Linked DNA regions of Caenorhabditis elegans. The protein of the gene in region 2 interacts with the protein of the main gene of each other region in a pairwise test. Each region holds a gene or a part of one and is shown on either strand. Other genes may lie near its edges. The genes, in order: ZK546.5, Y56A3A.28 and mec-3.

The links.
Region 1: the proteins of Y56A3A.28 (region 2) and ZK546.5 interact in a two-hybrid assay, tested with the Caenorhabditis elegans proteins (one large-scale study listed by BioGRID).
Region 3: the proteins of Y56A3A.28 (region 2) and mec-3 interact in a two-hybrid assay, tested with the Caenorhabditis elegans proteins (one large-scale study listed by BioGRID).

What each region holds. Positions count from the first base shown.
Region 1 is NC_003280.10:4,933,749-4,937,504, reverse strand, and holds the start of ZK546.5 (C2H2-type domain-containing protein), read right to left. Parts: upstream 1,688-3,756; coding exon 1,606-1,687; intron 1,555-1,605; coding exon 1,478-1,554; intron 1,419-1,477; coding exon 1,218-1,418; intron 1,164-1,217; coding exon 1,070-1,163; intron 1,016-1,069; coding exon 684-1,015; intron 635-683; coding exon 342-634; intron 291-341; coding exon 1-290. Other genes in the region: gst-30 (glutathione transferase), read left to right, coding at 2,489-2,621, 3,060-3,568.
Region 2 is NC_003281.10:11,969,508-11,973,263, forward strand, and holds the start of Y56A3A.28 (C2H2-type domain-containing protein), read right to left. Parts: upstream 1,861-3,756; 5' UTR 1,852-1,860; coding exon 1,759-1,851; intron 1,003-1,758; coding exon 862-1,002; intron 1-861. Other genes in the region: ung-1 (Uracil-DNA glycosylase), read right to left, coding at 2,116-2,232.
Region 3 is NC_003282.8:10,459,988-10,463,743, reverse strand, and holds the start of mec-3 (Mechanosensory protein 3), read left to right. Parts: upstream 1-1,876; 5' UTR 1,877-1,977; coding exon 1,978-2,055; intron 2,056-2,450; coding exon 2,451-2,501; intron 2,502-2,642; coding exon 2,643-2,758; intron 2,759-2,808; coding exon 2,809-2,881; intron 2,882-3,182; coding exon 3,183-3,434; intron 3,435-3,506; coding exon 3,507-3,620; intron 3,621-3,663; coding exon 3,664-3,756. UniProt on the Caenorhabditis elegans protein: Transcription factor. Specifies differentiation of the set of six touch receptor neurons (TRNs).

The DNA.
Region 1 (3,756 bases), on a different chromosome or scaffold from region 2:
AATAAGTTTCTCTGAGATCATATCCTTCTGGTAAGAGAACTTGAATATTTCCATGCTCATCATGAATCATTTGTGGGAAGTTGTGTTGTTCTGCTGCTTCATTTGCATCCTCATCTGGAATCATTGCTTGGGATGTAGATGGAATATCATTCGGATCTTCGGAGCTTTCAACAACGACTTCTTCATGTTGAGTTGGAATATGAAGACGTCGATGTTCGATGAACTCCGGACGATTGTCGAATTTAGAATCACAGCACGTCCAAAAGATCTCACCATTTGATACTTCTAATCTGCAAAAATATTTTTTCTAGATATTTTTCTTGTTTAAAACAAATAATTACTCAAAGGTAGGGAGACCTCCTGTCTCAACCATACAAGAAAACGAAGATTTCATATGAACTCGTTCCATGTGCTTGAACAAAAGACGAGGTCGATTCAACTTTAGTCCGCATTCTGGACATGTAACTCGTCCGGCAGTGTCTCCATCAGAAATCTCTCCAAGAATTGGCAGTCGAATTGACATTTCATCAGCCATTTCAAAATTTGTTCGTCGCCGCAATCGTTTTTGTTCTTCATCATATTGGTAAAATGTTCGACGTGATTTCAGGTATTCTGGTACATTTGCCCATGCTGTCTGAAAATGAAAAAATTAATCGAAAATGTTGAATTTAAATCTAACTTACATAATTATGAACATCGTTTTTATGGAGATTCAACTCTGACATACTGTGAGAGATATGACCGCAGAACTTGCAAATATATTTTTTTCGTCGGGTGTGATGCGATGTAACGTGGGCTCTTAGCTTCCCATCATCAGGAAATACTAATGAGCATAATTCACACGTCAGATTCTGAACCTCGTGAGCTCCTAATCGATCAATAAGCTGTAATCGAAGCTCGTCATTCTTTTTGTGTGCTCTTTGATGAGATTCCATGGCTGTTGGATGTGCTATGTTGACGAGCATATTACAGATTGTACAAGCTTCATATTGTTCTCCTCCTACAGTCGGCTGATCTTAAAATGTACATTTTATTATATATTTATTTATTTTTTTCTAATTTTACTTACTTCCAGCAAGAACAGCTTTTACAAGTTGATGTGCTCTTGCTTCGTGTCTCATTTTATCCATTGTTAGTCGATCGCGAGATCGGAGCCGTTCGAACTGAAATCTTTATTTTGTTTTAAAAAAAGTTACAATTTTCTAAATTTAAAATACCTCTCTTTTCTTCCATTCTCCACAAATTGTATTAATATCTAGCATGATATCGTCTAAATTCTGCAGGTGACACTCTCTTCCATGCTTTTCAAGTCCTGATGCAGTCAAAAAAATTTTCTCCTCACAAAATCGGCATGGATAAGATTCGACATCGTTAGCGATTCCTGGCAATTTCTTCGGTTTGAAGTTGGATGGGTGATTCTGAATATTAATAATTTTTCCTACAATAATTTAATACTTAAATTAAATAACAAATCTACCTCATTTACAGTCAATACTCCTGATTGTACTTCATATCCTTCTCGTTTAACTTTTTCACCTTCGTCGTCTCGAACATCTATAATGATTTGAATTATGACTTCTGCGACTAAAAACAATATTTTTATACCTTTCCGCGTATGTTTAAGCGCTACATTTTTTCGTATGATTCTTGGCGGTTTTCGTGGTCCTCCACCTATAATTGCAGCCATCTAAAAACAAAAAAGTTTACTAAATTGTAGAAAGTTAGAGGAATTAAAACTAAAAAATACATGGCAAAACCGATAAAAATTCAATAAATAAAATTTAATGTAAGTGCGCTCCATTGGATGCAAGCGAGAGAACGGAGACGCAGCGTTGGAGTCGACTTTGTGGGAAGGGCCACTAGACGAGTAAATTGGACCAAAAAGTATTAAAAATAATCGTATATTTTTTGTTCGGTAAGCAAAACTGTACGTACTCTTCATGTCTTCAGCTCTGAATTCCAATTTTGATGTAAATTATGAAAATAACAACAAATCCAAGACAATTGCGAGATCTACAGTACTCCTTTAAATCTAGTTGGTCGTTTCGAGACCGGGTACCGTATTTTTTCGTAAATTGCCAGGTAATTAGTGAAGAACGGAAATTTAAATTAATTTTTTTTATTAATTAAAGTTTACATTGTAATAGTCATTTTGTTAGATATGAACTGTTCTCAATTCTTCATTATTACACTAGTGTCTCAAATATGCTGACTATAAAAAAGAGCATTCTCAAATCACGTAAGACCAACAGAATCACACCTTAATATTAGCAAGGATGATAAATGTGGCAAGACGCGTCTCTAGTTTCCTCGATTTTCTCCCAATTCCAAGCAATTGTCATCATTTTGGCAACCTTTCTCGTACATTTTTAATGCCGCCTTACTTCGAAAAAAAAACACGATGAGAATGACAAACAAATTGAATGAAGGAGACAGTATAAAAGAGAATGTTTGAATTGGTCTTTCATCATTCGACTCCAAACACACTATGGTCCACTATAAACTTTCATATTTTCCAATTCGATTTGCTGGAGAAATTCCACGACAGATTCTGGCATATGCCGGGCAAAAGTTTGAGGATCACCGGATTCCACAGGCTGATTGGCCAGCTCTCAAGTCGAGTGAGTTTTTGAAACTTTTTTTTTCAAAATACTATTTATTCGTGATTAAAATGTTGTGCCGCTCTAACCGCTGTGGGCGTGGCGAGATCCACTTGATAAAATCTTGATTAGACCTGACACCAATATTCTGGGTCTTATTATAAATCATTGATTTTTGTTCACAAAAACTGACCTGAAAGCAATCTCAGAACTACCTTTTTTGGTTCAAAGTTCCCGTATAAATCTAACTTTTTTGTAGGGACCTATTTAGAAGGTGCTCTTTGAAATGAAATATGTATAGTTCCAAAATCGAGATATATGTTAAAGTATCTTCCATGTAATAGAATAACAAATACGATCACTTTTAATTGCGAGGCTGGCGGGATATTTGTGTACAGGTTTTTCTAATTTAATTTTTTTATGTCTAAAAATGTTGTATTGAATTTTCTATATTTCCAGCTATGCCGTTCGGAACTCTTCCTGTCCTTTATCAGGATGGGAAACCACTTGGACAATCCCATGCAATTTCTCGTTTTCTTGCTCGCCAATTTGGAATAAATGGAAGATGTCCATGGGAAGAAGCTCAAGTGAATGCAATTGCAGATCAATTCAAAGATTATCTCAATGACATCCGATCTTATAATCTCGTGAAAATGGGATTTGCACAAGGAGATGCCGATGCTCTTTACAAGGACACATTCCTTCCAAATTTCAAGAAAAACTACCAATTCTTCACCAATTTCCTTAAAGCCAGTGGATCTGGATTCTTGATCGGTGACTCTGTCACCTGGGTTGATCTGTTGATTGCTCAACATACATCAGATCTTCTCAGTGACAGTGGATCTGTGTTTGCTGCCAGTCAATCACTTCTAGACGAATTCCCAGAACTCAAGGCTCATCAAAAGAAGATTCATTCTATTCCAAATATCAAAAAATGGGTTGAGACTCGTCCAGTTACACCATTTTAATTCTAGGAACACTTTACCAACTTTTTTGTTGAAAATAAAGTAATTTCATGATTCAATACATCAAAACACTACATCGAAGTGCGGGAAGTAATTGAATCAAGAAAATTAATTGCAATTTAGTTTATTTCCTTAAAACGGCAACAATCTAAAAAAAGAATATTATTACAGAGACACTTAATAGAGTTATT
Region 2 (3,756 bases):
CCCACTTCGCCTGATTGGTTGAAAAGTGGGCGGGCGAATCGCTGATTGGTCGGGCGGTTCTCATTTTTGTGGTTTTTGAGATTATTCCAGTTTTTTTTGAATTTTTTAAAGACAAAATCGACATTTTTTTCTATTTTTTGAAAAAAATTTACGGAAAATCGAAAATTGGAATTTTTCGATTAAAAAACAAAAGAAAATCGACATTTTTTCGATTTTTTTAATAGAAAAACAGAATTTTTAGATTTTTTAATTTTTTCAGATAAAATCGAACATTTTGTTGATTTTTATATATTTTTTAACGAAAAATTGGATTTTTTTTGTGGTTTTTTAAAGAAAAAATCGGAAATATATGGAAAAATTTTTTTTTTTTGTGTGAAAATCAGAATTTTTCGATAAAAAAAATCGACATTTTTTCGATTTTTTTAAATAGAAAATCGGATTTTTCTCGATTTTTTAAATTTTTTCAGAGAAAATCGAAAGTTTTTTCTAGTTTTTGATTTTTTTAAGACAAAAGCGGCATTTTTTCGTTTTTTAAAATTTTTACAGAAAATCGAAAATTTGTCAATTTTTTGTGAGAAAATCAGAATTTTTCGATTAAAAAAAAAAAAAATCGAAAATTTTGTCGATTTTTATATATTTTTTAACGAAAAAAAAAACCGGATTTTTTTCGATTTTTTAAACAGAAAATTGGAATTTTCTCGATATTTTTTTTCAGAGCAAATTTTTTTCGAGTTTAGGCCTGATTTTGCTCCAAAAAATCTGAAATAGGCTCAAATTTATTATGTTTCTAGGCATTTTTTTTGTGAAAAATCGCGTTTTTTCGTGATTTTTTCCTGGTTTTTCTAGATTTTTCGTACTAACAAGAGCTTCTTCTGATGGTTGATCATCCCATTCTTCCTCATTTTCAGCGATATCTTCGTCGGCTCCACGGGATACGCTTAGAGCAACTTCTCGTTCAAAAGCTTCCATAAGACAATCTTCGGTGTGCCAATAGAACTCGCGCTGAAAAATGAAATTTTTTGAATTAAAATTGAAATATTCGTTTAAAAAAAAAAAATTTCTGATTTTTTAAATTATTTTGTGAGAAAAATCGGAATTTTTTCGATTCTTTTAATATATTTTTAGAGAAAAATCGGAAATGTTTCAATTTTTTAAATTTTTTAAAAGAAAAATCGAATTTTTTTTTCGATTTTTAATTTTTGTATTAAATTAAAATAGGAATCTTTTTCGATTTTTAATAATTTTTTTAGAGAAAAGTCGGATTTTTTTAATTTGTAATTTTTTTTTTGAGAAAATCAGAATTTTTCCGCTTTTTTATATATATATTTATATTTTTAAAGAAAAATTGGAATTTTTTTTTCGATTTTTTTTTGAGAAAATTGCAATTTTTTCGATTTTTTAAAGAGAAAAATCGGAATTTTTCGATTTTTAATATAAATTTAAAAAAAAAACGGATTTTTTAATGTATTTTTAGAGAAAAATCTGATTTTTTAATGTATTTTTAGAGAAAAATCTGATTTTTTGATATTTTTACTGAAAAATCGGAATAATTTCAATTTTTAATATATTTTTAGAGAAAAATCGGAATTTTCTCGTTTTTTATAAGAAAAATTAGCATTTTTCAATGTTTTTAAATTTTTTTAAAGAAGAAATTGGAATTTTTTCGGTTTTTTAATATATTTTTTGGGAAAAATCGGTTTTTTTTTTTCAATTTTTAATATATTTTCTGCGATTTAATTAGAATATTATCTTCTCTACCTTATTCCGGAAATATTTTCTACATTCAAGGCATAAAAAATGCCGAGAAATTGAAGTCCAGCTCCGTTCCTCTTCGGTTTTTTGTCGCCGCATTCTTTTTTTCTGTTAAAAAAACAATTTTTCGCTGCAATTTCCGTGAAAAGCATTTAAAAATCGTTGAAACGAATGAAAAATTGGAAATTGAACAAAAAAATGGCCAGAAAATCGAATTTTTATGATGAAAAACCGAAAAAATGAGGAAAAAATGAGGAAAAATGAAGAGAAAATAGAAAAATCGATAAATAACAGAGTTCTTCAGTGAGTGGCGAGAGAGTGTGTGAGATGAAGAGACGCAGGGTGTTCGACAGGAGAATTTATTCATAAATCCGCCCAATTAATCGGGTTTCGACCGGAATTTTCGAGCTCCGTGTTGCATTTCGAGAAGCATTTGCATCCCCACCACTTGCGAGCACTCAGCGGAGACGGATGGGCGGTCTGGAAATTTTTTAAAATTTTTTAAAAAATTAAATTTGAGTTTAGTGGAAATATTTTTAAAATACGCTAAAAAATAGGTTTTTTTTTTCACAAAAATCAAAAATTTTGCGATTTTCCACGTCTGAAACCAATCAATTTTTCCCTTTGAAATTAATTTAAATTTTGGTGGAAAATGTCAAAAATTGCCAGAAAAACTTTAAAAAATTCAAGAATTTCCCACAAAATTGTAGTAAAATTGTCAATTTTCAGTTAAAAACCAAAAAAAAAAACAAGATTCTCCAGGTTTTGCTCCAAATTTGCTCCTTGTTTAAAATATCTATGTGAAAAATTGGAAAAAAAAGTCCCTTTTATTGTAGAAAATCGACGATTTTCAAACGCGCGCCAGACATTGAAGCGCGCTGTGTCTTGTGCCGATTTACGAGCCAGCTTTCAGCTTTTTATTCATTTTTATCGGTTTTTTTCGTTGAAAATTGTGTATTTTCGAGCCAATTGAACATTTTATGATCAGAAAACCGCGAAAATTTCCTATTTTTAGATGAAAAAGGAGGTAAATTCAGAGAAAATCGGAATTTTTTGAGTTTTTAAAGAGAAAATTGGAGTTTTTAAATAGAAATTTTCTCGAATTTTTTTTTCGATTAAAAAACAATTTCTGTTTTTCGATTTTTCTCTGAAAAAATAGAAAAAAAAAATTTTAATTTTCTCTTTTAAAAAATCGAAAAAATTCTAATTTTCTCCTTAAAAATTTCAAAAAAATTCCGATTTTCTCTTTTAAAAAATGGAAAAAATTCCGATTTTCTCTGGAAAACTATATGAAAAAATGGAAAAAATTCCGATTTTCTTTGAAAAAATCGAAAATATTCCGATTTTCTCTAAAAAATCAAAAAAAAAATCGAAAAAATTCCGATTTTCTTTGAAAAAAATTAAAAAAAACGAAAAAATTCCGATTTTCTCTGGAAAGAAATAGAAAAATTCCGGTTTTCTATTTAAAAAAAAAAAGAAGAAAAATTCCGATTTTCTTTGAAAAAATCGAAAAAATTCGGTTTTTTTTCTCTGAATTTAAATCATTTTCCATCTAAAAATAAGGAAATTTTGCGAGTTTTATAATAATAAAATGTTCAAAAAACCGAAAAAAAAAATGAAGAAACAGCAAAAAATTGGCTTTAAAAAAACAAATCTCGTAAATCGACACAACACGGTGCGTTCCAATGAGAATCGTCTCTGGCTCTCTGGCGCGCGTTTGAAAATCGTCGATTTTCTACAATAAAAGGGACGTTTTTTTCCAATTTTTCACATAGATATTCGGAATCAGGGGAAAATTTAGAGCAAACCCCTGAATTTTTTTTAGTTTTTAACTGAAAAGTGACAATTTTACTACCATTTTATGGGAAAATCTTGAATTTTTTTCTAGGTTTTCTGGCAATTTTTACCTAAATTTCCAGCAAAATCGCAAAATTTCCGATTTTACAGGTGAAAATCGGCAATTTTTGTCGTTTTCCAACACATTTTTAGGGAAAAAATCTTAAA
Region 3 (3,756 bases), on a different chromosome or scaffold from region 2:
TATGGATAAAAATTACATCTTAAAACTCTCGGAATAAACTATCAAAATGAGGAGCGATGTGTTTTTTTTTAATTTTGCCCTGCAGGTACCCGGAGTAGTTGGCGAAGATAGAAATGGTGTTATCTTATATAAATTCAGACTTTCTCTGTTAAAATTTTAACCACCAAAAAATATAGAATTTATAAAAAGTTTCATTTTGAAATTTTATCTTTTGGGGCCATTTCACTACCTTATCAGGAAGAAATGTGTTTCATCAGAAATTGAATTTTTCATCTTTTCAGAAAGTGTACCTAATACCGTATCATGCTCATATTCACGTGAATAAGGCTTCTGCCCAGTTCTGTGATTCAAGGAAAACTACGAAAAATGATCTCATTTTCTTTGATTTATCACCGAGCTGGTGTGTCATCACACACAGTCTGTTTCTTGATAAAAACGCGCAGAAGTTAGAGCATTCATTGTGATTTTGGGTCTTTAATTTCTGTAAAACAAATAAAGTGACAAGTTTATCATCTGCCTATTTTATCAGTTATATGCATGGTTAGTTGCAAATAAGGGAGTAGAAATTGACTAAAACTCAAAATGAGCACTGAAACGAGGGGTTTTGTTAGTTGCGAAATAACAATTAATACAATCTGGTTGATTACTTTGTAAAAGGATAATAAAATATGCAAAACTTGGCGTATTCTGAGATTTCATTCCTAAAGACATTTATCAAAACAAATGTTTTCTGCAATTTTCTAAATTCTTGGAATTCTGCCCAGCAGCCTCTAATATCGCGTTTTACTTAGAAAATGACTTTTGGTTTCATTTTCTCATTTTCTGGCTTCTATTTTTCACAAATGCAAATATTTACATTTAAATTAGTACTTTCATTTCTACAAAGATCAAATTTAACATTATTGACAGGTTTACTGTTATCTTGTGACAGTTCCGTACTGTCAATCAAAACGAAAATTAAAACTCATGAAATATCAATGAACATAAATTGAAAAAAAAACCCAGTTGAAAGGAGAAAATAAGCGAAACACACCAACAACTGAGTAGTTACGCTCACAATTTGGAAATGATTTTGAAAACTCTCTGGACTGCATTTCAATTTTTAACAAACAATGAATACATACTGATAGTTTTTGTACTTCTCGGCATTCAGAGGCAACTTCCTGCCAACAACCTGGCAACTTATTTAGTGCCACTAAAATAAGTTGCCAAATTGTTGGCAGGAAGTTGCCTCCAAATGCCGAGTTGGAGCAAATGATTCGATATGATTTTAAGGATACCTACGCATGCCTCCTGCCAAGACACGCACCCACCTACTGAAATGTCGCGGAATTTTACCTCCCAAACTATAGATTGGGTGAAACTTCACTGTAAAAGCTTTTTTTAAGTAGTAGGCTGGCAGTAATGAAGACGTCCATACCATAATTTTTAATGTTGTATAGAAAATCTGAATTCTCAAGTATAACATTTTCCAATAATTAGCATAGTCAGAAACTCTCCACCGCCGTTCCGTTCCTTTTTTTTGTAACTATGGAGTAATAGAACAAGATTATTCAAATTCAAATTTTTATAAAACTTTACAACGTCCTTTCCATATATTCTTCACACAACATTTGAAAAAACAACAAATTCATTCGAAATGCATTGCCCATAATGAATCGACCGAAAAACACAAGTGACCGTCAGGAGATCGATAGAGAGAGCCCGTTCCAACTAGACAACTTTTTAGTGCTTATCCTTACACACACTTTCTAGCTTCATAAGAAATGCATCTATTATCGTCACCATTTGGAGACACCAGTTTTAGCGCACATTAATAATCGATCAGGGTCTAGAGACTCCTGTTGGATTGGCATGCCACGCCTACATGACATCTGGCTCTTGACGGGTGATTTGTTACAGTGAGTAGCCACAATTTCGCGCATTTTCTTCTAAATTTCACTGTTATTTGTTCTTCTGATTTATTTCATTTGAACTATGGAAATGTTAGAGTCAAAGCCTCTCAGTGCGATTAGTATGGTTATTGATTCAATTGGAGTTGATCATGAAAATCAGGTGAGTAATTAAACTTGAGCAGTTGTGAATTTCATCAGAAAACAATTTTTCTTTAAAAAAATTTAAAAGTAACAATTTGAGAGTCAGAAAAATGAAATTAACATCAATCGAAAACTTACATTGCATTTGCTTGAAAGTTTTTACAAAGACTTCTGCGTGTCAAGAAATTCCAATTTGAAATTTATACAAAATCCGCACGAGGGAAAATTTCTGTTCGACTTTCAGAGAGTCAAGTAAAATTACCGCATCTTCTAAAAATTCTGAAAGTTAGATTCTGAAAGTCAATCGTGTAAACTTTTGGTTGGTATTCATTCTATTTTCCAATCTCATTTTATCGATACGATCTCTAGTGAAACTTGTGTCTAACATTCTATAATTTTTTTAAATATTTCTAGAACAAATGTAATTGCTGCAATGAGCAAATTTATGATCGTTATATTTATCGAGTAAGTTTGCTGATGTTTGTGGATTTTTCAAACTTTCTTTGCTTTGCTTCTGTAAACAGTCTGCTCAAAATCTTGAATATTTTTCTTTTGCTTCTATAGTTCGAACAACATTTCAAGATTTCAGCCATCATTTATTTTCAGATGGACAATCGATCGTATCACGAAAATTGTGTCAAATGTACAATATGTGAGTCTCCTCTGGCCGAAAAGTGTTTTTGGAAAAATGGGAGAATTTATTGTAGTCAACATTATTATAAGTAAGCTTTAGCAAAATATTCTTGGAATTAATAAAAATACATTATTTCAGGGATCACAGTATTCATCGGTGTGCGGGTTGCAAGAAAGGAGTGTCACCGACAGATATGGTATATAAACTGAAGGTATTAAATTGGGTCAGAATGTTTAAGAAAACATTAAACTTTGAGCGAACCTATACAAAAAGTTGTCAACTTTTTATCAATTAAATTTTTGACTACTTTTGTATAAACAGTAGGAATGCCCGAAAGATTTCAAAAAGCCTACAATTTCAAATTAAAAAAAAAACCAAAGCTTTGACTAATAGTTTTGAAAGATGTAATCATTTTTTACGCTTTGCTCTTTGCTCTGACGGGATCCTGCTAGACGCACAAGCATAGAGCTTGGGGCTTTGATCGGTAAAGTTTGACTCAAAGAACTTTACAGGCTGGGCTCGTGTTCCATGTGGAATGTCATTGTTGCTCTTTGTGTGGACGGCATTTATCACCGGGGGAACAAATTCTTGTTGACGATACAATGATGACCGTATCCTGTATGTCACATTATCCTCCTCAAATGGATGACAACGCACCTGGAGCAATAGGATCTGCAGTTGATATACCATCTTGTTCGACAGAAAATCCAATTGCCCCATATCCAATTGATGAATCTTTTTCATCAGCTTTCCAAGTTAAAAAGGTATACTTTATTTTTCGTTGAAAGTTTAAAGGGATTAAATACCGAATAATGTACTGCATATTTAATTTTTAGGAGGTTGACGCTTATGGATACAACTTTGAGCATTATAGCTTTTCCGATTTCTGTGATGATGATTCACGAATGCTAAAAAGACGCGGACCTAGAACGACAATCAAACAAAATCAGGTATACAATGTAAGAAAGCGGAAATTTTCATAATGATTTTCAGTTGGACGTGCTGAATGAAATGTTCTCGAATACACCAAAGCCGTCGAAACATGCTCGAGCCAAATTGGCATTGGAGACCGGTTTAAGCATGAGA